3 linked regions of the Anolis sagrei genome follow. The protein of the gene in region 3 interacts with the protein of the main gene of each other region in a biochemical or structural test. Links are inferred from orthologs where the notes say so. Each region holds a gene or a part of one and is shown on either strand. Other genes may lie near its edges.

Region 1 (7,655 bases), on a different chromosome or scaffold from region 3:
AAGAAGGAGCCTCCACCACACTCGGGGGCAGAGAGTTCCACTGCTGAACGGCTCTCATGTTCAGATGGAATCTCCTCTCTTGTAGTTTGAAGCCATTGTTTTGTATCCTAGTCTCCAGGGAAGCAGAAAACAAGCTTGCTCCCTCCTCCCTGTGGCTTCCTCTCACATATTTATACATGGCTATCATATCCCCTCTCAGCCTTCTCTTCTTCAGACTAAACATGCTCAGCTCGTTAAGCCACTCCTCATAGGGCTTGTTCTCCAGACCCTTGATCCTTTTAATCGCCCTCCTCTGGCTTGTCAATATCTCTCTTGAATTGTGGTGCCCAGAATTGGACACAATATTCCAGGTGTGGTCTAACCAAAGCTGAATAGAGGGGTAGCATTACTTCCCTAGATCTATACACTAGGCTCCTCTTGATGCAGGCCAAAATCCCATCGGCTTTTTTTTGCTGCCACATCACATTGTTGGCCCATGTTTAACTTGTTGTCCACAAGGACTCCAAGATCTTTTTCGCACTGCTCTCGAGCCAGGCATTGTCACCCATTCTGTATCCTTGCATTTCATTTTTTTCTGCCTAAGTGGAGTATCTTGCATTTGTCACTGTTGAGCTTAGTTTTAGCCCATCTCTCTCATCTGTTCAGATCGTTTTGAATCCTGCTGCTGTCCTCTGGAGTATTGGCTATCCCTCCCAATTTGGTGTCGTCTGCCAACTTGATGATCCTGCCTTCTAACCCTTCCTCTAAAACATTAATAAAGATGTTGAACAGGACCATACTCAGGACGGAACCCTGCTTATATGGCACTCCCGAGGAAATACTGGGGAGCAGCCATTGGGTTCGTTCCCTTAACCAATTACAGATCCACCTAACCATAGTTTTGTCTAGCCCACATTTGACTAGTATGTTTGCCAGAAGGAAATGGGAGAACTTTTTGAAGGCCTTACTGAAATCCAGTTACGCTACATCCATGGCATTCCCTGCATCTACCCAGCTTGTAACTCTCTCAAAAAAAGAGATAAGATTAGTCTGACATGAATTATTTTTGATAAATCCATGTTGACGATCAACAAAGTGGAATAATAATCTTTTCATTCTTTTCAACGTGTTGCCTTAGAAGAACTTTGGTGGGGCCAAGGGCAAGGACCCAGCCAGGAAGACAAACACAAAAGTCCCCTCCCTCAGTGATTTCATCCTCTGATGAAGAGGACCTGTTGGAAGGGGCACTGTAAGCACTAGCAGCACATGATCATCAAGTTTGATCATCAAGCATGATCATCAAGTTTGCAGACGACACCAAATTGGGAGGGATAGCCAATAGTCCAGAGGACAGGAGCAGGATTCAAAGGGATCTTGACAGATTAGAGAGATGGGCCAAAACTAACAAAATGAAGTTCAACAGTGACAAATGCAAGATACTCCACTTTGGCAGAAAAAATGAAATGCAAAGATACAGAATGGGTGACGCCTGGCTCGAGAGCAGTACGTGTGAAAAAGATCTTGGAGTCCTCGTGGACAACAAGTTAAACATGAGCCAACAATGTCATGGGGCGGCAAAAAAAGCCAATGGGATTTTGGCCTGCATCAATAGGAGCATAGTGTCTAGATCTAAGGAAGTAATGCTACCCCTCTATTCTGCTTTGGTTAGACCACATCTGGAATATTGTGTCCAATTCTGGGCACCACAATTCAAGAGAGATATTGACAAGCTGGAATGGGTCCAGAGGAGGGCAACTAAAATGATCAAGGGTCTGGAGAACAAGCCCTATGAGGAGCGGCTTAGGGAACTGGGCATGTTTAGCCTGAAGAAGAGAAGGCTGAGAGGAGATATGATAGCCATGTATAAATATGTGAGAGGAAGCCACAGGGAGGAGGGAGCAAGCTTGTTTTCTGCTTCCTTGGAGACTAGGACGCGGAACAATGGCTTCAAACTACAAGAAAGGAGATTCCATCTGAACATGAGGAAGAACTTCCTGACTGTGAGAGCCGTTCAGCAGTGGAACTTTCTGCCCCGGAGTGTGGTGGAGGCTCCTTCTTTGGAAGCTTTTAAGCAGAGGCTGGATGGCCATTTGTCAGGGGTGATTTGAATGCAATATTCCTGCTTCTTGACAGAATGGGGTTGGACTGGATGGCCCATGAGGTCTCTTCCAACTCTTTGATTCTATGATTCTATGTGCACAGTTTAGAAGGTGTGCGGGAGGGCCTGTTCGCAGAGCACTTAATGCTTTTTTTCCAGAATCTTGCCTGGTATTGACGTGAAGCTGACAGGACAGTAATTGTTTGAGTCATCCTTTTGCCCTTCTTGAAGACAGATAGGGACCACATTTGCGCTCCTCCAATCTGCTGGGACATATCTGCGTGTGGACTCCGATAACAAAGCAGATATTGTGGGATTGTCTACCTTGATATTCTGGGATTATAGATCCACCTAGCCAATTACAGATCCTTTCTTTCCTCACCTCCTATCTTTTCCCCTTTTCTTTCTCTCTCTCTTTTCCTGTTTTCCTTCTTTTTTGCTTCCTTCCCTTCCCTTTACACACATGTCACTTAGCAGCAACCAAGCTACTTCACTCTTTTCCTTTCCCAGTGACATTATAGGGCTAGCAACAGATTGATAGATGATAGAGCAGGCCTGGGCCAACTTTGGGCCCTCTAGGAGTTTTGGACTCCAACTCCCATCATTCCTAACAGCCTCAGGCCCTTTTATTTTCTCCCTCAGCCGCTTAAGCGGCTGAGGGAGAAAATAAAAAGGCCTGAGGCTGTTAGGAATGATGGGAGTTGGAGTCCAAAACACCTGGAGGGCCCAAATTGGCCCAGGCCTGTTCTATAGTATGAAGCCACGTGGTTCTCCTCCTCACCCCTGCCGGGCGACCGCCCCCAGAGTGCTGGCCACTTCCGGGACGCAGTTGAGGTCTCTCCCGCAAGAGACGCGAGCCGCCGCCGAGCCGGGCCCGACCGAAGGCGCCGCCGCTGTGTTCGCCGCCATGTCCCGCCACACAGAGAAGCCAGAACCGTGAGCCCGCGCCCACTCTAGCACTTTAACCAATCCGCGGCCGTTTTACAGAAAGCAGCCAATCCAATGAGGCCTTTCAAAGCCAGAGTGGAGGGGGCGGAGTCAGCACCGGCCTAGCTAAACCAATCAAAATCCGAGCCGGAGTCAGTGACTGAGAGAGCATGAGGTAAAGGTTCTATTTCCCATCATGCACTCGGGAGGGGGAAAAAAGGCACATGACGGTGGAAGACTACACTTCCCAGGATGCATCGCGAAGCAGGCAACGCTATGGAATGCCTTATAAGGGAGGAGGTGGAATGCTCTGTTTGTGTCTGAGGGCCAGTGGCGCAATGGATAACGCGTCTGACTACGGATCAGAAGATTCTAGGTTCGACTCCTGGCTGGCTCGAAACAGACTTAACTTTTCTTCATTGGAAACTTTAGCAAGAGTAATTAAGATTCTGACCTTCTGATCTTCCAAACACATATTAACAGTTAAACTACAAGGAGGTTGAGTGCATTCTTAAAAGGGGGGTTACCACATTTACAATGTATTTCAAATGAATTTATTTCCAATTTTATTTATTTATTTACACTGAATTTATTTCCAATTTTATTTATTCATAATTTATTTACAATTTTATTTACTTATTTATTTACAAAATATTTACAATGAATTTATTTCCAATTTTATTTATTTATTTAAAATTTATTTACAATGAATCTATTTACAATTTTATTTATTTATTTATTTACAATGTGTTTAGAAAGAATTTATTTACAATTTTATTCATTTGTTTATTTACAATTTATATACAATAAATCTATTTATAATTTATTTATTTATTTATTTACAATTTTTGTATTTATTTATTTACAATTTACTTATTTACAATTTTATTTATTTATTTACAATTTATTTATTTATTTATTTACAATTTATTTACAATTAATTTATTTACAATTAATTTATTTACAATTTATTTATTTATTTACAATATATTTACAATGAATTTATTTACAATTTTATTTATTTATTTATTTACAATGAATTTATTTATAATTTTAGTTATTTACTTATTTACAATGCATTTATTTACAATTTTATTTATTTATTTACAATATATTTACAATTAATTTATTTACAATTTTATTTATTTATTTATTTAAAATTTATTTACAATTTTATTTATTTATTTATTTAAAACTTATTTACAATGAATTGAGAATGAAATTCTTGTTTATTCACATTTGGTAATACAGTTTATCCCTTATCTGAAATGCTTGGGATACAAAGTGTTTTGGATTTTGTTTTTTTACATATACAAGATAATAATAATAAGAAGAAGAAGAACTCAAGAATGGAAAATGGAACGTTGGTGAACAGGAAAAGAGATTTAAAGATGGGCTCAAAGCCAACCTTAAAAACTCTGGCATAGACACTGAGAACTGGGAAGCCCTGGCCCTTGAGCGCTCCAGCTGGAGGTCAGCTGTGACCAGCAGTGCTGCAGAATTCGAAGAAGCATGAATGGAGGTTGAAAGGGAGAAACGTGCCAAGAGGAAGGCGTGTCAACCCAACCCAGACCAGGACCGCCTTCCACCTGGAAACCAATGCCCTCACTGCGGGAGGAGATACAGATCAAGAAGAGGGCTCCACAGTCACCTACGGACCCACCTTGGAGGATTATCCTACTCGGACAGCGAGGGATGGCCTAAGTAAGTAAGTAAGAAGAAGAGTTCAAACTACTCTGGGACTTCCGAATTCAGACAGACAAGAGTTTTGGAACACAACACTCCATACCTCACGATCGTGTTAAGAAACAAAGTATGGATCATCAATGTAATCCTGGGTGATAGCAGGATTGAAGGGAAACAACTGGAAAAGTTGGAAAAGCTGACACGATATGAGGATTTAAAGATCGAACTGCAAAGAGTCTGGCACAAGCCAGTCAAGGGGGTCCCAGTGGTGATCGGCACACTGGGTGCAGTGCTTCAAGACCTTGGCCTGCACTTAAAAACAATCGCCACTGACAAAATAACCATCTGTCAGCTGCAAAAGGCCACCTTACTGGGATCTGCACACATTATTTCTATTTATTTAGGGCATTTATATCCCGTCCTATCTCATCTCCGCAGAGGGACTCAGGGAGGCTAACAACCGGCACAGCACAGTGCCCACAATAAGAAAAGCATAAATATACATAATATAATATAATAAAAACAGTTTAGTACCATTTAATATTTGTATTGTTGACTGGAATCACTGGGTTGTAGGTTTTTTCAGGTTATATGGCCATGTTCTAGAGGCATTCTCTCCTGACGTTTCGCCTGCATCTATGGCAAGCATCCTCAGAGGTTGTGAGGTTGGAACTAGGAAAATTGGGTTTATATATCTGTGGAATGACCAGGGTGGGACAAAGAACTCTTGTCTGCTGGAGCTAGGTGTGAATGTTTCAACTGACTGCCTTGATTAGCATTTGATGGCCTGAATCTGGAACTTCCAGATTCAGATTTGCAACCATAAAATTATTTTTGTTCCTACTTCATAACTGTAATTTTCCTACTATTATGAATTGTAATGTAAATATCTGATATGCAGGATATATTAATTAACTGGATGGAATTCGGCACAAATACCCGATAGGCCCAAATTTGAATACTGGTGAGGTTGGAGTGGGGATTGATTTTGTCAATTGGGAGTTGTAGCTGCTGGGATTTATAGTTAGCCTACAATCGAAGAGCATTCTGAACTCCACCAACAATGGAATTTAACCAAACTTGGCACATAGAACTCCCATGACCAACAGAAAATACAGAAAGGGTTCAGTGGCTTTGACCTTGAGTTTTGGATTTGTAGTTCACCTACATTCAGGGAGCACTGTGGACTCAAATAATGATCGATCGGACCAAACTTGGCACAAATACTCAATGTGCCCAAATGTGAACACTGGTGGAGTTTGGGAGGAAATAGACCTTGACATTTGGGAGTTGTAGTTGCTCGGGTTTATAGTTCCCCTACAATCAAAGAGCAGTGTGAACTCCACCAACAATAGAATTGTTGCCCAGCTTACCTGTCTGAACATATCTCCCTCTATGAATGTTCTGTTGCGTGCTGGACCTGTAAAGAATTTCCTTTTAGAACAGGACGTGCAACCTTTGCCCAGCGGGAAGCCAGGGGGCCCAAGGAGAAGTTCTCAGAGGTTTTCCACCACAAATGATCTTTAGATGGCTTGTGAAGTATAACAAAGTATTTTATTAATGAAGAATCAAACAGAAACTTCTCTTGTCTTCAATAAAGCTAAACAAATGATTCCAGACTTTAATGCAACTGGTAGCTTCCTAAACTTGCCCATGAAGGACAGGCAACTGCCTTCAATAACTTCTTCTTTACTTTAAAGGAAAATCCCCTTTTTAACTTCTCCCTGGCTGACTGTAATCTAACCCTTACTGATGTGGGCTCCGCTACCGGGTTGAACTGCTTCTCGAACGCCGAGTGAACCTACCAGTAAAGGTTTAGATGTTCTCCAGCTGGAGTTCTTTGGTCTTTAGGGCTGTTTCCCTGAAAATCTTTGGAGACTCTTAAGACTGTTCTCCCGGAAAGTCTTAAGGGTTGAAGCTTTTGTACAGGGGAAGCTTGCACACGTCCTGTACATTAGCTTTCCTTGCTGAGACTAACTAAAATTGGCTCCCTTCCCGATGATGGACAGGTGACTTGCCCTACGACTGCAACCAAAGAAAGCCACCTATCTGCAGAGTCCCTGCAACCTTGGACTGCAAGCAACATCTAATACAAAGTAAATACAGTTGGAGCTCCTGGTATAGCTGTACCAGCACAATGAACCATCTCAGAGATTAAGGTAATTTGGGGAGGCCCTGCTCTTGGTTCCACCTTCCTCGCAAGTGTGATTGGTGGGGACGAGAAACAGGGCCTTCTCAGTACTTACTTACTTATTTAGCGATCCCTCGTTGGACGAGTAAGATGGTCTTCCATTATGGGTTTTCCTGTGGGTCCGCGTGTGGCTGCGGCGCCCTATTCTTGCTCTGCATCTTCTTCCGCAGTGTGGACATTGGTTTCCAGGTGGAAGGCGGTCCCGGTCGGGGTTGGCTTGATGCGCCTTCCTCCTGGCACGTTTCTCTCTTTCACCCTCCACTCGTGCCTCCTCAAATTCTGCAGCACTGCTGGTCACAGCTGACCTCCAGCTGGAGCAGTCAAGGGCCAGGACTTCCCAGTTCTCAGTGTCTATGCCAGAGTTTTTAAGGGGCCATCTTTAAATCTCTTTTCCTGTCCTCTAACATTCCGTTTTCTGTTCTTAAGTTCAGAGTAGAGCAACTGCTTTGGGAGACGGTGGTCAGGCATCCGGACAACGTGTCCGGCCCAGCGGAGTTGATGTTGGAGGACCATCGCTTCAATGCTGGTGGTCTTTGCTTCTTCCAGCACGCTGACGTTTGTCCGCTTGTCTTCCCAGGAGATTTGCAGGATTTTCCGGAGGCAGCGCTGATGGAATCGTTCCAGGAGTTGCATGTGACGTCTGTAGACAGTCCACGTTTCACAGGCATATAGCAGGGTTGGGAGGACAATAGCTTTATAGAGAAGCACCTTGGTCTCCCTACGGATGCCTTCTCAGTGGTGGGTCTTTGACTATGGAACCCCCACCAACAATAG
Region 2 (7,206 bases), on a different chromosome or scaffold from region 3:
TCATACATATTTTTTAAGAAAATGTGTTTTAAAATATTAACAAATCTTAGTATCACTGTTTGTAATGATAAAAGGCAACAGTTTCCTTGTACTGATTAGAAAGAAAGCAAAATAGCCTTAACTCTTGCTCCCGGTAAAAACTTCATTGTAATTCATGCAATAACTTCACAGTAGTCTTCAAATTAGTGGATTTTTCAGCCTTAGTGGAGTCATTGTCTATTCATTTGTTATACCTTTCCTGCCACCTTGTCCAGAATGGTGAATTGTACGGTTTGATTTTTCATTAAAAAAATCAATCATTCAATAAGAAGAAATATAACAATAAGAAATATATTAATAAATACATCATTATTATTGCCTGAAAATAACAATATACAATAGCCATAATATAATAATAATAAATATAATAATGACATCATTATTTTAGCTGAAAATAATAATATAGAAATATCACAATAATATAATAATAAATATTATTATTGGAAACCACCATGAGTAGCAAAAGTAGTAATAGTTTTATTACTATTATTAATAAATAGAAAATAATCTAATAAATACATCATTATGATGGCCTGAAAATAATAATATATAATAACTACACTATAATACTATATAACAATAAGTATAATACTAAATACATCATTATTGCCTGAAAATAATAATATAGAATAATAATAATACTGTAACAACAATATAATTATAACAATAATAAATACAATAAATGTAACATGATTATTACCTGATAATAATAATAATAATCTTTATATTCCACTTTATCTCCCCGGAGGGACTCAGAACGGATTACAATACTGATATGAGGCAAACATTCAATGCCTTTTTACACACACAGTGAACAAAGACATATAAGACAAAGGTCAAGGGCTTCCGCCTTTTCCCATCTCCGGCATCTGGAGGTGATACTCAACTGAAGGTGATCTTGTTCCATTTTCCATGCTGAGGAGCCTGTTTTCCATAGACTTCTCTAATTGTATTGCCGGCATGTCTGTTTATCTGCATGGGGTGCCCTTTTCCCTTCCCACTGAGGCGGTACCTACTGATCTACTTGCCTTGCATTCTTTCAAACTGCTAGGTAGGCAGGAGCTAGAGCAGTTGGGAGCTTACCCTGACTCGTGGCTTCAAACAGTTGACTCTCCGGTTAACAGCCTTTCCTGCAGCTAGCAGCTTTAACCACTGTGCTACCACGGTTAATAACAAAATTAATAGCAAAGACATTGTTATTAATACCTGATGTGTAATGTGTTATTATTTAATTCATGGTAGTTTTTTGATTTGTTGGTTGCACCTTACAGCACTGAATGTTTCCCCATTGGGGAGATAGGGAGGGATACAAATAAAGTTTATTACTATAATTACAATTACAACAATAAATATAACAACAACAACAACAAATATAATAAGCTTACATCTGGATATTATTATTAGTAGTAAGCATATATATATTTAATATTCTTTTATGCCTTTCTCTGTCCACATATATGATCCTGTGCTATTCTTGTCCACTTCGGATAATTTTAATAGAATGTAATATATAATGTAATCTTCTGGTTTCTCTCCTTTAAATGTTAATGTTTTTAATTTTTATTAATCTAATTAAAATAAGTCCAGTTAAAATGGATTTGTAGTGTCATTTAATTATTTGTAATATTCCATGATTATGTGATGAAGGTGTATTATTTAACTACTGGTTGTCGTCTTTACTGTCGGTCGCCCTTTACAGCATTGAATGGTTGCTGCTCCATGTATCTTGAGAAGCGCTCTGAGTCCCCATTGGGGAGATAGGGTAGGATAGAAATAAAGATTCTTCTTCTTATTATAACAACAATAAATATAATAACGATAATATATTATTCGACAATGCAGATAACAATGTTATTATTAAGCCTTTGACAGTACAGATAACAATATATTAATAATAATAATAAATTAATCAATAAGCCATTGATACCTGGCAGTTCATGTTGTCCTCGGCCTCAATGAGCTTCCCGCGGTAGACCTCCCCGGTGTTTGTCTCGCAAGTGACAATGTGTCCCTCAGCCTCATGGAGGACCTTGATGGGGACCCCGATCGACATGATAAGGATGGAAGTGGGTGATGGACAGCTGGCCAGGAGAGAAAAGGGAGGGACAGGAAGTGAGCTCACAGGGGCCCCAACAAGGAGCCCCCGGTGGTGCAGTAGGTTAAACCCTGACAGGTCGCAGGTTCGAATCCGGGGAGAGGCGGATGAGCTCCCTTTATCAGCTCCAGCTCCTCATACATGAGGACATGAGAGAAGCCTCCCACAAGGATGATAAAAACATCAAATCATCCGGGCATCCCCTGGGCAACGTCCTTGCAGACGGCCAATTCTCTCACACCAGAAGCGACTTGCAGTTTCTCAAGTCACTCCTGACACGACAAAAAGAACAAAACAATAAAATAATATAATCAAGGAAAATATCATAATTATTATAATATAATATAATATAGCAATATAATATACTATATAATCACAATAAAGTCCAAAATGTAATAACGTAGAACTCATAATAATATAATCAAAAGAAAATATAATAATGCAATATAACATCATATATAAGAAAATACAATAATAATTGTAATAAAATCAAAAGAAAATGTAATATACGATATGCTATTACATTGTCTTATTTTATATTAGGTTATTATATAGTATATTATAGATTATGTATTAGATTCTATTACATTCTAGATTATGATACTCTCTTATTTTATATTATGTTACTATATACATACTATATTATATATTCGATCATCTATCGTTATACTACCTTATTTTATAGTAAGTTAATATATATATATAATATATTCTAGATTATTACACTTTCTTATGCTATTTTATATGATAATCTTCAATAATAAAGAACAAGCCTTCTCTCGTACGATTTCGGATGTCGCTACAGCGTGAATTCGATCAAAGCCCGGCCTCCCAGCATGCAAAGCGGAAGAGGAGGAAGCGGAAGTGTCGTCCGCTCCACCGCCACCCCGCGCTCTTTTTTTAAACCATAGATTTCCGTGCGGAACTTTTAGCAACGGCTTCCGGTTAATACCGGAAGTCATGACGTTCTATCCTTTCCACCTCTCCAATAGAAAGCTACGGGACTCTATGGTTACGAGCGGTGCGGTCCTTTTTGGGCTCCGGCGGGGAGACCCAAGGGCGGCGACTACAGTTCCGCTTTGTGTTTGCCTCATAAACGAACGGATTCCAATATCGTGCGTCTTGAGATGGTATTTCCATTGGAGTGAAGGTGGTCAAGACATGCGCATGCTCCGTAGGACTCAAAACAACGCCAGGGACGTGGCTTATCGGATAGTGGGCGGGGCAAGGCCTTTTTCGGAAGGGGCGTGGCTTCGGGAAAGGGGGCGAGGTTAGGGCCTTCCTTCTCTTGGTCTCAAGGGGCGGGGCTTGATGAGAGAGGGCGGGGCCAAGGCCTTCCAATCCTCTGGCTTTAGACGCAAGGGGCGAGGCTTAGTGATAGAGGCGGAGCTACGGCCTTGGTCTTAAATGCAAGGGGCGGAGCCAGGGCCACAAAGGCAAGGGGCGGGGCTTGGGGACAAAGGGCGGAGCCGGGGCCTTCCTCACCTCTTCAGGCCTGAAGTGAGCCGCAAGGGGCGTGGCCAGGGGCGTGGCCAGGGGCGGAGCCCGGCAGGAAGCGAGGAAGGGAGGCTTCCCTTCCTGCCTGCCTGCCTTCAGAGAGCCATGAAGAGCCCCAGAGAAGAGGAGGAGGAAGAAGAAGAGGAGGAAGAAGAAGAGGAGGAAGAAGAAGAGGCCCAGACCCCGCCCTCAGGTCGGTGGTGAGCCCCTGAGCATGCGCAGAGGGCACGGTCACTGAGGGCAAAGGGAGGGGGGGCAAAGACAGGAAGGGTCTCTGAGTAGGAGCAGGGAGTGTTAGCATACCCCTCATGCTGCTTCTGGCACCGCCATAGTGCTCCTTCACACTATTATTATGCCCCTTTGCACTCTTATCACACTGAATCGTAATTTTCCCTTGCACTTTGTGTCCCATTTGCATTATTATTACACGCGCTTACACTACACTACACCAGAGTCAGACATGACTGGACTTAATGTCAGGGGACTATTTATTTATTTATTTATTTACTACGCTTATATGCCGCAATTCTCAGCCTAATGGCGACTCATTGCGGTGTACAACATAGAAAAACAGGTGCAAAATACAAGACATAGTGACAAATAATCCGCAGTACATCATTAGCAAAACATCTCATCAAAAACATCAACATTATTACAAAGTCATTCCGAGTCGTCTCATCGTCAAGTTCACAATCCAATACCATTTCTATTGTTCCATTCCATGGTCAAGTTACCAGTCATTGCACTTCTATTCAAATGCCTTCTTAAACAGCCAGGTCTTCAGCTTCCTGCGGAAAATCAACAGGGAGGGGGCTAGCCTGATGTCTACGGGAAGGGTGTTCCACAGCCGAGGAGCCACCACCGAGAAGGCCCTATCTCTCGTCCCCGCCAGCCGTGCCTGTGACGCAGGCGGGATCGATAGCAGGGCCTCCCCGGAAGATCTCAAAGTCCTCGTGGGCTCATAGGCCGACTACCTTTACCTTACCTTACACTACTGCGATGCCACTCACACTGGATCATTGCGCCTCCACACATTATTATTATGCCCCTTCACATTATTGCGATGCTTTTTACACTGGATCGTAATGCCCCTCGCACTGTTATTACACCCCTTGTACTATTGCGATTCTCACACTGGAACATGATGTCTCTTGCACCGTTTAATATGCCCCCTCACACTGTTGCGATGCTTTTCACACTTGATTGTGAGGGGCCCCTCACGCTATTATTGCACCCCTCGCCCTTTTGCAGTGCTTCTCACACTGGCTCATGATGCCCCTCACACTATTATTTTATTTTATTCCGGCCCAATTTACCTGTCCGAACGTATCCTCCCCTATGAGCCATCAAGATTACTAAGATCGTCTGGAGGGGCCCTGCTCTCGATCCCACCGGCCTCACAGGCGCGGCTGGTGGGGACGAGAGACAGGGCCTTCTCGGTGGTGGCCCCTCGACTCTGGAACTCCCTTCCACTGGAGATCAGAACTGCCCCTTCGATCTTAACGTTCAGGAAACAGGTGAAAACCTGGCTTTGGGGACTGGCATTCAGCGAATGAGCCATGATCCTGTGATATGGATGGATGACGACGAATAATGACTTTGATGACGACTGACCAGTGTAATCATACGATTGTATTTTTGCTATTTTAATTGTTTCAATGTTTTAATGTTTTAGTGTGATTTAGAAATATGATGTTTTGATGACGGTCTGTAATATTGATGTTGGAAACCGGCCCGAGTCCCTCGAATGGAGGTGAGAAGACCGGTATACAAAACTACCAAATAAATAAATAAATAAATAATTTATATATTTCGGACATTTGTATCCCGTCCTATCTCAACCTCCACAGAGGGACTCAGGGCGGCTAACAACCGGCCTATTGTGTCCCACTCGCACTATTATTACACCTGCTTGCAATTCTTCTTGCGCCTGATCATAATTCCCACCCTTGCACTATTATTACGCCCCTCGTGCTGTCGCAATGCTTTTCACTGGATCGTGATACCCCCTTGCACTATTATCACACCCCCTTGCATTATTGTGATGCTTCTTGCACTGGATCATAATGCCCCTTGCAATATTATTATGCCTCCTGCACTAGTGTGATTCTCACATTGAATCATGATGCCCCTCGCACTGTTATGCCCCCCTTGCACTGTTGCTATACTGGATCATGATCCCTCCTCACACTATTATAACACCTCTTGCGTGAACTTAATGCCTGTCACACTATTATAGTGCCCCTTGCATTGGTACAATGTCACTTGCACTGTTACACCTCTCACACAATTGTAACCTCCCTTCTTTGCCCAGTTGTAACCTCCTTTGCACAATTGTCAAGTTCCCTTCATGGCCGTAACATCCTTCACACCATCATATAATGCCTCACACGATTGTAACGTTCCTTACACAACTGTAACCTCTGCTGCACGAGCATAATAACTGGAATGCCATTCACACGACTGTACAATCCATTTGTGTACTGTCACTTGCACAAGTGCGGTTACTAACTGCAAGGTCTCACTGTTCCTGGCATGATTGTAACACCCCCTTGCACAACTGCAATGCCCTTCACACGCTTGCGAACGCCTTTAGCACGGACCTCCCTTCCTGCAGTTTAGTTGTTCCTCAGTAGTCCTGAGTGGTTCCCATGAAGTATAAACGCCTTGTGTCTTTTCCCTCACACGACGGGGACATGCTTCGCACGGATATTGCACTGCAGTGGGAATAGTGCAGCTGAACGTTCCAGTCCTCCAGCAGCTCTATCACTGGGACTGCGGCCTGGCCTGCTCCAGGATGGTCCTCAAGTGAGTGCGACAGCCGTCTCATAATTGTGACCTCATTACACATATGCAAATAACACGATGAACGGATATAAGTATTATATTTTATGATGGTATAATTTTAATAGAATAATAATACATTGAAATAACATTATACATTTATATTATAATAATAATATAATATAATTAAAATAAAATTCAACAATATCCCAATTAAACAATATAATAATATGACAATTATATTATAATAGTAATTTAATAGAATAGAATAATGAAAGAATATAATATAATTGGTACATTATATTAACAATATAAATATATTACAGTAGAATAGAAAAAGAATATAATGAAAGAATATAAATCTTACAACAATAATATAATAAAAACAATAATATAATAGTACTATTATACCTAGTATAATTATTAAATTATCATATAATAGTTATATTAATTACAAACTAATATAATATAATGATTTAGTTATTATATTAAAGTACAATGGAATAATAGTATTATTAAAATTGTAGTATAATGATAATATAATAATTACATTATAATATAATAAATATTTATAATAATTATATAATTGTTACGTTATATTTATTATATTAATTATTCTATATAATAGTGCCACCAAAATATTTTACAACTTCTTCCTGGCAGGTACCTGAACCTCCTTGATGACGCCGAGTTCCAGAGGGCTGTCCAGGAGCTTGGTTTGACCAAGAGCATCTGGACCATCGACCTGGCTTACCTCATGCGCCACTTTGGGGTCCGGCACCGCTTCTGCA
Region 3 (7,904 bases):
TCTACCTATTCTTGGACTGCAACTCCCAGTAGTCCTGATCCATCCATCTATCTACCTATCTCTATCTAATCTATCTAACTGGAGGATTGCTGGAAATTGCAGTCCAGGAATAGGAAACTGGAGATATGCAGGTTTTGGGATGCGCTCAAAGATTTCCAAGGAGAAGAAAGCTTGCAGCATAGAAGCGGTGCATTTGGATCATCCTCCTCTCCTAAAGGGCCTTGTCTAGGGGATGCTGGGAGCTGTAGTCCGGAAGAGAGTGTAGTTATGCTATTGTGTGTTTTGTTTGCCAGGAGAGTAGTTTTTGCGCATGTGCTGTAGCGTTTTTTGCTTTTTTGACCTTTTAAGTCTCTTCTGCTGTGTTTGTCAGTGTTTTTATGAGTGATGGTCACTCGTTGGCCTGATAGGTGTCTTGTGTCCAAATTTAGTGTCAATTCATCCAGTGGTTTTTGAGTTATGTTAAACGAACATTACATTTTTATTTATATAGATTTTATTTATTGTTTATTACAAAATATGCTTCTGCAACGTAACACCAAATTCAAGCAGGCATTTGGTTAATTCGGTGCAATGAATGTGTTGATTACGGATTGGTAATATGGATGATGAAATTGGACCAGGATTTTAGTTAGGAGATGTATTGGATTGTGATTTACGTGTAATATTGTGTATTATGTTTTTATGGTTTTAATTGTATACTGTGCACTGTATATTTTGTTGTAAACCGTGTTGAGTCGCCAGTTAGGCTGAGAAACGGCGGTATACAAGGACAGGAAATAAATAAATAAAAAATAAATTCTTGTTACTCCGGCACTCCTTCACCATCCTGCCAATGCAGTTACTACTAAAAAAAAATAGTCAGACAGAGAGAAAGGGGGACTGTGGGGCTTGGCAGGTATAAAAAAAGCTTTGTAAAAGAAGCTACTTTCTCAAAGGATTTGTGAACTGAGGTATACCTGCATTCCAGTTACTGAAATTACAGAGCTAAATTCTGCTGACATACATGCAGTGATGTTCTAGCATCTCTGCATACTGATAAGAATGCCAGAAGGACTTGATTCTCTTGAACAGCCCGGCTCCTTCACCTATCCATCGCCACTGGGTATTTTGAGTACTGATATTTTGTTTTACATAATATCTGAATGGGAAGTCCTTTTGTCAACAAAGCCAAGGAAAAAATACTGTTTCTGGACTACAATCACTTGAGGGCCATGTATCAAGATGTGAGGGAAGTCATTGGGAGGAGGAAGCAAGCTTGTTTTCTGCTGCCCTGAAGACTAGGATGCGATGGAACAATGGCTTCAAAGTATTGTAGAAGGTTTTAATGGCTGGAATCATTAGGTATAGAGGCATTCTCTCCTGACGTTTCACCTGCATCTATGGCACGCATCCTCAGAGGTTGTGAGGTCTTTCAGAATGCTTGCCATAGATGCAGGCAAAACGTCAGGAGAGAATGCTTCTAGAACATGGCCATATAGTCCCAAAAAACCTACAACAACCCAATGGCTTCAAACTACAGGAAAGGAGATTCCACCTGAACATGAGGAAGAACTTCCTAACTGTGTGAGCAGTTCAGCCATGAAACTCTCTCCCCTGGAGTGTGGTGGAGGCTCCTTTTTTGGAGGCTTTTAAGCAGATGCTGAATGGTCATCTGTTGGGAGTGCTTTGAATGCCATTTTCCTGCTTCTTAGCAGAATGGGGTTGGACTGGATAGAAAATTGCATTCAAAGCACCCCCGACAGATGACCATTCAGCCTCTGCTTAAAAGCCTCCAAAGAAGGTCTCTGGGGCTCTCACAGTCAGGAAGATTCTATGATTCTATTAAGTTCTTCCTAATGTTCAGATGGAATCTCCTTTCTTGTAGTTTGAAGCCATAGCTCCATTGTGTCCTAGTCTCCAAGGAAGCAGAAAACAAGCTTGCTCCCTCCTCCCTGTGGCTTCCTCTCACATATTTATACATGGCTATCATATCTCCTCTCAGCCTTCTCTTCTTCAGGCTAAACATGCCCAGCTCCTTAAGCCGCTCCTCATAGGGCTTGTTCTCCAGACCATTGATCATTTTAGTCGCCCTCCTCTGGACACATTCCAGCTTGTCAATATCTCTCTTGAGTTGTGGTGCCCAGAATTGGACACAGTATTCCAGGTGTGGTCTAACCAAAGCAGAATAGAGGGGTAGCATTACTCCCCTAGATCTAGACACTATGCTCCTATTGATGCAGGCCAAAATCCCATTGGCTTTTTTTGCCGCTACATCACATTGTTGGCTCATGTTTAACTTGTTAAACATGATATATAAACCTCAGTTGTCTAGTTTCCAACGCATCTCACAACCTCCGAGGATGCTTGCCATAGATGTGGGCGAAACGTCAGGAGGGAATGCTTCTCTCCTGGATGGCCATCTGTCAGGGGTGCTTTGAATGCAATATTCCTGCTTCTTGGCAGAATGGGGTTGGACTGGATGGCCCATGAGGTCTCTTCCAACTCTAGGATTCTATGATTCTACAAGAGAGCGACTAGGATGCAGAACAATGACTTCAAACTGCAAGAGAGGAGATTCCATCTGAACATGAGGAAGAACTTCCTGACTGTGAGAGCCGTTCAGCAGTGGAACTCTCTGCCCCGGAGTGTGGTGGAGGCTCCTTCTTTGGAAGCTTTTAAGCAGAGGCTGGATGGCCATCTGTCAGGGGTGATTTGAATGCAATATTCCTGCTTCTTGGCAGAATGGGGTTGGACTGGATGGCCCATGAGGTCTCTTCCAACTCTAGGATTCTATGATTCGAGGTGAGGCCTACCCAAACTCGGCGACTCACCTCTCGGCCACGAAGAGGGTCCCGCTGCCCAGGCGTCGCCCTCCCAGCACGGCTTCGGTCTCGGCCTGCCTCAGCCGGACGCCTTCGCTCGGCTCCGGGAGGCGTTTCAGGAAACTCATGGCTGCCTGAAAGGAGGGGAGGAAACAGCTAGGCCGCGTCCCCTCCGCTCCGGCACAAAACGGAAACGCGAGGAACCGGAAGCAGCGCGCTGTCACCTCTTTCCGCTTCCGCCTCACGCGACAAAGACCTTTCTGCGTCTCTCCCTTTCTCTCCTTCGCCACAACGCCGTGACGTCATAATCCACTGAGAGTTCCGGACTTCGTCTCCCAGAAGCCCTTGCCATAACGACTAAGGCAGTGGGATTCTGGGAGTCGGAGTTCGGGAGTATCTAAAGCGGGGAATGAAAGGCGGCCATGTTGGATGTTAGTCTAAAACGAGACGGGCCTAGGCCAACTTGGGCCCTCTGTGTGTTTTGGACTTCAACTCCCACAATTCCTAACAGCCTATTAGGCTGTTAGGAATTGTGGGAGTTGAAGTCCAAAACACACAGAGGGCCCAAGTTGGCCTAGGCCTGAGCTAAGGCCTTTCTCAATAAGGCTTGTCTCTTAATAATAATAATAATAATAATAATAATAATAATAATAATGATATAAAATAAATAATCATAGTAGAGAGAGAGAGAATATATATATATTATAATAATTACTATGTTTACTATTCTTACAGTAGATAAATTATTATTATTTACATTATATATATATATAGTAAATAATAATAGTAATAATAATTTATATATAGAAAGAGAATATATATATATATAATAATTATTATGTTTACTATTCTTATACTAGATAAATTATTATTACTATTATTACTATTATTTACATTATGTATATATATTGTAAATAATAATAGTAATAGTAATTTATATATATAGAGAAAGTGAGAATATATATATATAATTATTATGTTTACTACTCTTATACTAGATAAACTATTATTATTACTATTATTATTATTTACATTATATATATATATATATATATATATATATATATATATATATAGTAAATAATAATAATAATAATAATAATTTATCCAGCAAAAGAATAGTAATCATTTTTGTTTCTTTTTCCTGCAGGAAGGAACTGTAATAATAATAATAATAATATCAAATATATTAATATCAAATAAATTACAAAATATAATACATTATAAAATTGTAATTATAAAATATAATAATAATAATAGTACAGTATTATTTTGTCCAACATAATAGTAAACATTTTTGTTCTTTTCTCAGCAGTAGGGAACTGTAGTAATAATAATAATAATAATAATAATAAAGTTATATTAAATAAATTATAAAATATAATGTATTACAAAATATAATACATTATAAAATTATAAGTATAAAACATAAAGATAATAGTATAGTATTATTTTGTCCAACATAATAGTAAACATTTTTGTTCTTTTCTCTGCAGGAGGGAACTGTAATAATAATAATAATAATAAATATAATAATATAAAATAAATTACAAAGTATAATATATTACAAAATATAATATATTATAAAATTGTAATTATAAAATATTATAATAATAGTATTATTTTAAATAGTATTATTTTGTCCAACATAATAAACATTTTTGTTCTTTTCTCTGTATACAGTAGCGAACTGTATTAATGTTTTGTAGTTTTTATATTGTTTCTTTTCCCTGCAGGAAGGAACTGTAATAATAATAATGATAATGATGATAATAATAATAGAATTAATAATTATTATAATATCAAATAAATTACAAAATATAATACATTATTAAATATAAAGATAATAGTATAGTATTATTTTGTCCAACATAATAGTAAACATTTTTGTTCTTTTCTCTGTATACAGTAGGGAACTGGATGGTCTCTTCCAACCCTTTGATTCTAATAATAATATATAAAATTGTAATTATAAAATATAATAATATAGTATTATTTTGTCCAGCATAAGAATAGTAAACACATTAGGTTCTTGTGGGTTTTTTTGGGCTATAGAGCCATGTTCTAGAGGCATTTCTCCTGACGTTTCGCCTGCATCTATGGCAAGCATCCTCAGAGGCAGTGCAGGAAAGAACTATAATAATAATAATAATAATAATAATAATAATAATTTATATAACCCACAAACCATCAATGAAAGGTCACAATACCTTGGAACTGCTCAAACTTGATCCGAAACGGATGATAATAGTGCTTGTTAGTTCTTGCAAGTACACGGCACCTTTACAATTGATTATCCACATTGAGTATCCTTACATTGCTCTTTGCTCAAGTCTTTGATTTCTTTTTTAGAAGTACAATTACAGAGCAAAAAATAGAAGAAAATGAGAAAAGAGAGGGAACTACTTCAGACCTGAATGTGGACTAAGCATTAAGGCACCTAAGGAGATAAAGGTTGAGTAACCTTTATCCGGAACTATTAAATACTCTGAAATTCAAAATTGTCCACATGGTTGACTGTGATAGTAGCGCCTTTTGCTGTCTGATGGTTCAATGTAGACAAACTGTGTTTCATGCAGAAAAGTATTATTTAAATCTATAAAAGTCAGAGTTTGTATATATTTATGTTGGTTTGTACCACAAAGCCTCCTCCATGGCTTGATGGATCTGGACCAAATGTGACACCTTCATTATCCAACTTAAAATAATTGAGGGGTTTGGGGGGGAAAAAGGCCCTTTCAGAGCAGCGGGAAAGACAAGGAACAAAGTGGATTGGTTGTTGCTAGGTGAAGTGGCCCTCTGTGATGTCACTAGGAAAGAAAGGTGACACGTATAAGATGAAGGGAGGAAAGAAAGAATGAAAAGGGAAAGGGGTATAAAGGGAAGGAAGAAAAAAAAGACAAAAGGGAGGAGAAAAGAAGGGATGAAAGAAAGGAGCGAAGAAAAAAGAAAAGGAAAAGAAGGGGAAGGAAGAAATGAGAAAAAAGGGGGACAGGTATGTGAAGGAAAAAAAGAGGGAAAGGAAAGGATTGAAGACCGGAAGGGATGAAGGGAGGGAAGAAAGAAATAGAGAAAAGGAAAAGGAGAAGGAGGAAAAAGGGACACATGTGTGAAAGAAAACAAGGGAAGAATGAAAGAAATTGGAAAGGAAAGGAAAAAGGATGAAAAGGAAGGAAGAAAAAGAAGCGAAAGGTAAGGTAAAGAAAGGGAGACAGATGTGTGAAGGAAAACAAGGGAAGAAGGAAAGAAATAAAGGAAAGACAAGGGAAGAGAAAGGGAGGGAAGAAAGGAAAAGAAAGGGGATAGGTGTCCGAACGTATCTCCTTCTACGTGCCACCTCTGAACTTAAGATCGTCTGGGGAGGCCCTGCTCTCGACCCTGCCTTTGTCTCAAACACGCTTGGTGGGGACGAGGGACAGGGCCTTCTCAGTGGTGGCCCTCCACCTGTGGAATTTGCTCCCCGGGGAAATTAGGTCATCCCTCCTCACCTTTAGAAAAAAGGTTAAAACGTGGCTGTGGGACCAGGCCTTTGGGCAATCAGATTAAAGGACAATTGATAATGTTGACTATGGCATGGAAGAGGATTTGGATAAGTGGAGTAATCATTAGTAGATGGCTAGCTAAACGGCCACCAGACGGGCAATAGCTAATCAGAATCTAAGTATACTGTTTTAATCTTTATTAATGTTCATGTATAATTGTTATATTTGTTATTCTGTATTTTATGTTGTGGCATTGAATTGTTGCCAATTGTAAGCCGCCCTGAGTCCCCCCAGGGGTTGAGAAGGGCAGAGTAGAAATGTTCAAAATAAATAATATAACAAGGGAAGAAAGAAAGGAATAAACAAGAAAGGAAGGGAAGAATGGAAGAAGGGAGGGAAGAATGAAAAAGAAGAGGGGCAGATGTGTGAATGAAAACAAGGGAAGAAGAAAAGGAAGGAAAGACAAGAGAAGGGAACAATAAATGGAAAAAGGGAAGGAAGAAAAAGAGAAAGGAAAGGAAATGAAGGAAAGGGAAACAGATGTGTGAAGAAAAACAAGGGAAGAAGGAAAGGAAGAAATAAGAAAGGAAAGGAAGAATAAGGGAAAGGGAGAAGGTGTATGAGGGAAACTGAGGAAGCAAAGAGTGAACCACAAAAAGGACCTGCACAAAAAGAGTTGTCACTGTGAGGTAGGCCCCCGCAGAGCTGGAGAAGGCAGGCAGCGGTCCTAACAACATCCCAAAAACTGCATATATATATATAGTCGAAGGCTTTCATGGCCGGAATCATTGGGTTGTTGTAGGTTTTTTCAGGCTATATGGCCATGGTCTAGAGGCATTCTCTCCTGACGTTTTGCCTGCATCTATGACAAGCATCCTTACTACCTCTGAGGATGCTTGCCATAGATGCAGGCGAAATGTCAGGAGAGAATGCCTCTAGACCATGGCCATATAGCCCGAAAAAACCTACAACAACCCAGCATATATATATATATATATATATATACACACACACACACACACACACACACACACACACATACACACACACACACTACCTATGGTGTACATGTCCAGGAAATATAAGCTAATTTTATATAATTATGTAAGTATGGTACAGGTAAAAAAAAACTTTCAAAATCCCAAACACTTCTGGTCCCAAGCCTTTTGACTAAAGGATGCTCAACCTGTATTAAGGAAAGAGAAAAAAGGGAAAAGAATAGAATGAAAGGGAAGAAAGAAAATCATACTTCAAAAAAGACATTTTCTGGAAGATGTTTCCTTTAAAACACGCATTTGTGTGTCACTAGATCGATGCGATTGCATAATATATAGGGAATGCTTATCTTTCCAAACTTGGGGGTACTGAAGTATTTTAGGCAGTGGGAAGAGAAAACAGGATCTAACTACAAGGGGTATTTTTTAAGTAAGGTCCGTTTTGTTGTAGACACGAGTAGTTCGCGCACATACCGCAACGAGCGCGTGTGTCATGTTCCAGCATGCCTCGGGAACAACTGTGCTCAGTTTCCGCTCTGTAGCTAACCTGTACGGTTCTGTTCTGTGCTTTAAAAATGTTTAAGACTATCAACTCACCCTCCGCATGTGAGGTTCGCTCAGTGATA

The links. The genes of interacting proteins can lie anywhere in the genome.
Region 1: the proteins of CLNS1A (region 3) and PRMT5 form a complex in vitro, tested with the Homo sapiens proteins (5 studies listed by BioGRID and IntAct, with this or other methods). The link is inferred for Anolis sagrei from reciprocal best matches to the Homo sapiens genes CLNS1A and PRMT5.
Region 2: the proteins of CLNS1A (region 3) and SNRPD3 form a complex in vitro, tested with the Homo sapiens proteins (2 studies listed by BioGRID). The link is inferred for Anolis sagrei from reciprocal best matches to the Homo sapiens genes CLNS1A and SNRPD3.

Annotation. Positions count from the first base shown.
Region 1 is NC_090026.1:9,495,234-9,502,888, reverse strand, and holds the start of PRMT5 (protein arginine N-methyltransferase 5), read right to left. Parts: upstream 3,025-7,655; 5' UTR 2,987-3,024; coding exon 2,859-2,986; intron 1-2,858. UniProt on the Homo sapiens protein: Arginine methyltransferase that can both catalyze the formation of omega-N monomethylarginine (MMA) and symmetrical dimethylarginine (sDMA), with a preference for the formation of MMA.
Region 2 is NC_090034.1:49,010,321-49,017,526, forward strand, and holds the start of SNRPD3 (small nuclear ribonucleoprotein Sm D3), read right to left. Parts: upstream 3,025-7,206; 5' UTR 2,920-3,024; intron 2,121-2,919; 5' UTR 2,093-2,120; coding exon 1,967-2,092; intron 1-1,966. Other genes in the region: protein GUCD1, read left to right, coding at 3,737-3,824, 6,355-6,439, 7,079-7,206. UniProt on the Homo sapiens protein: Plays a role in pre-mRNA splicing as a core component of the spliceosomal U1, U2, U4 and U5 small nuclear ribonucleoproteins (snRNPs), the building blocks of the spliceosome.
Region 3 is NC_090023.1:9,832,571-9,840,474, forward strand, and holds the start of CLNS1A (methylosome subunit pICln), read right to left. Parts: upstream 3,016-7,904; 5' UTR 2,930-3,015; coding exon 2,811-2,929; intron 1-2,810. UniProt on the Homo sapiens protein: Involved in both the assembly of spliceosomal snRNPs and the methylation of Sm proteins.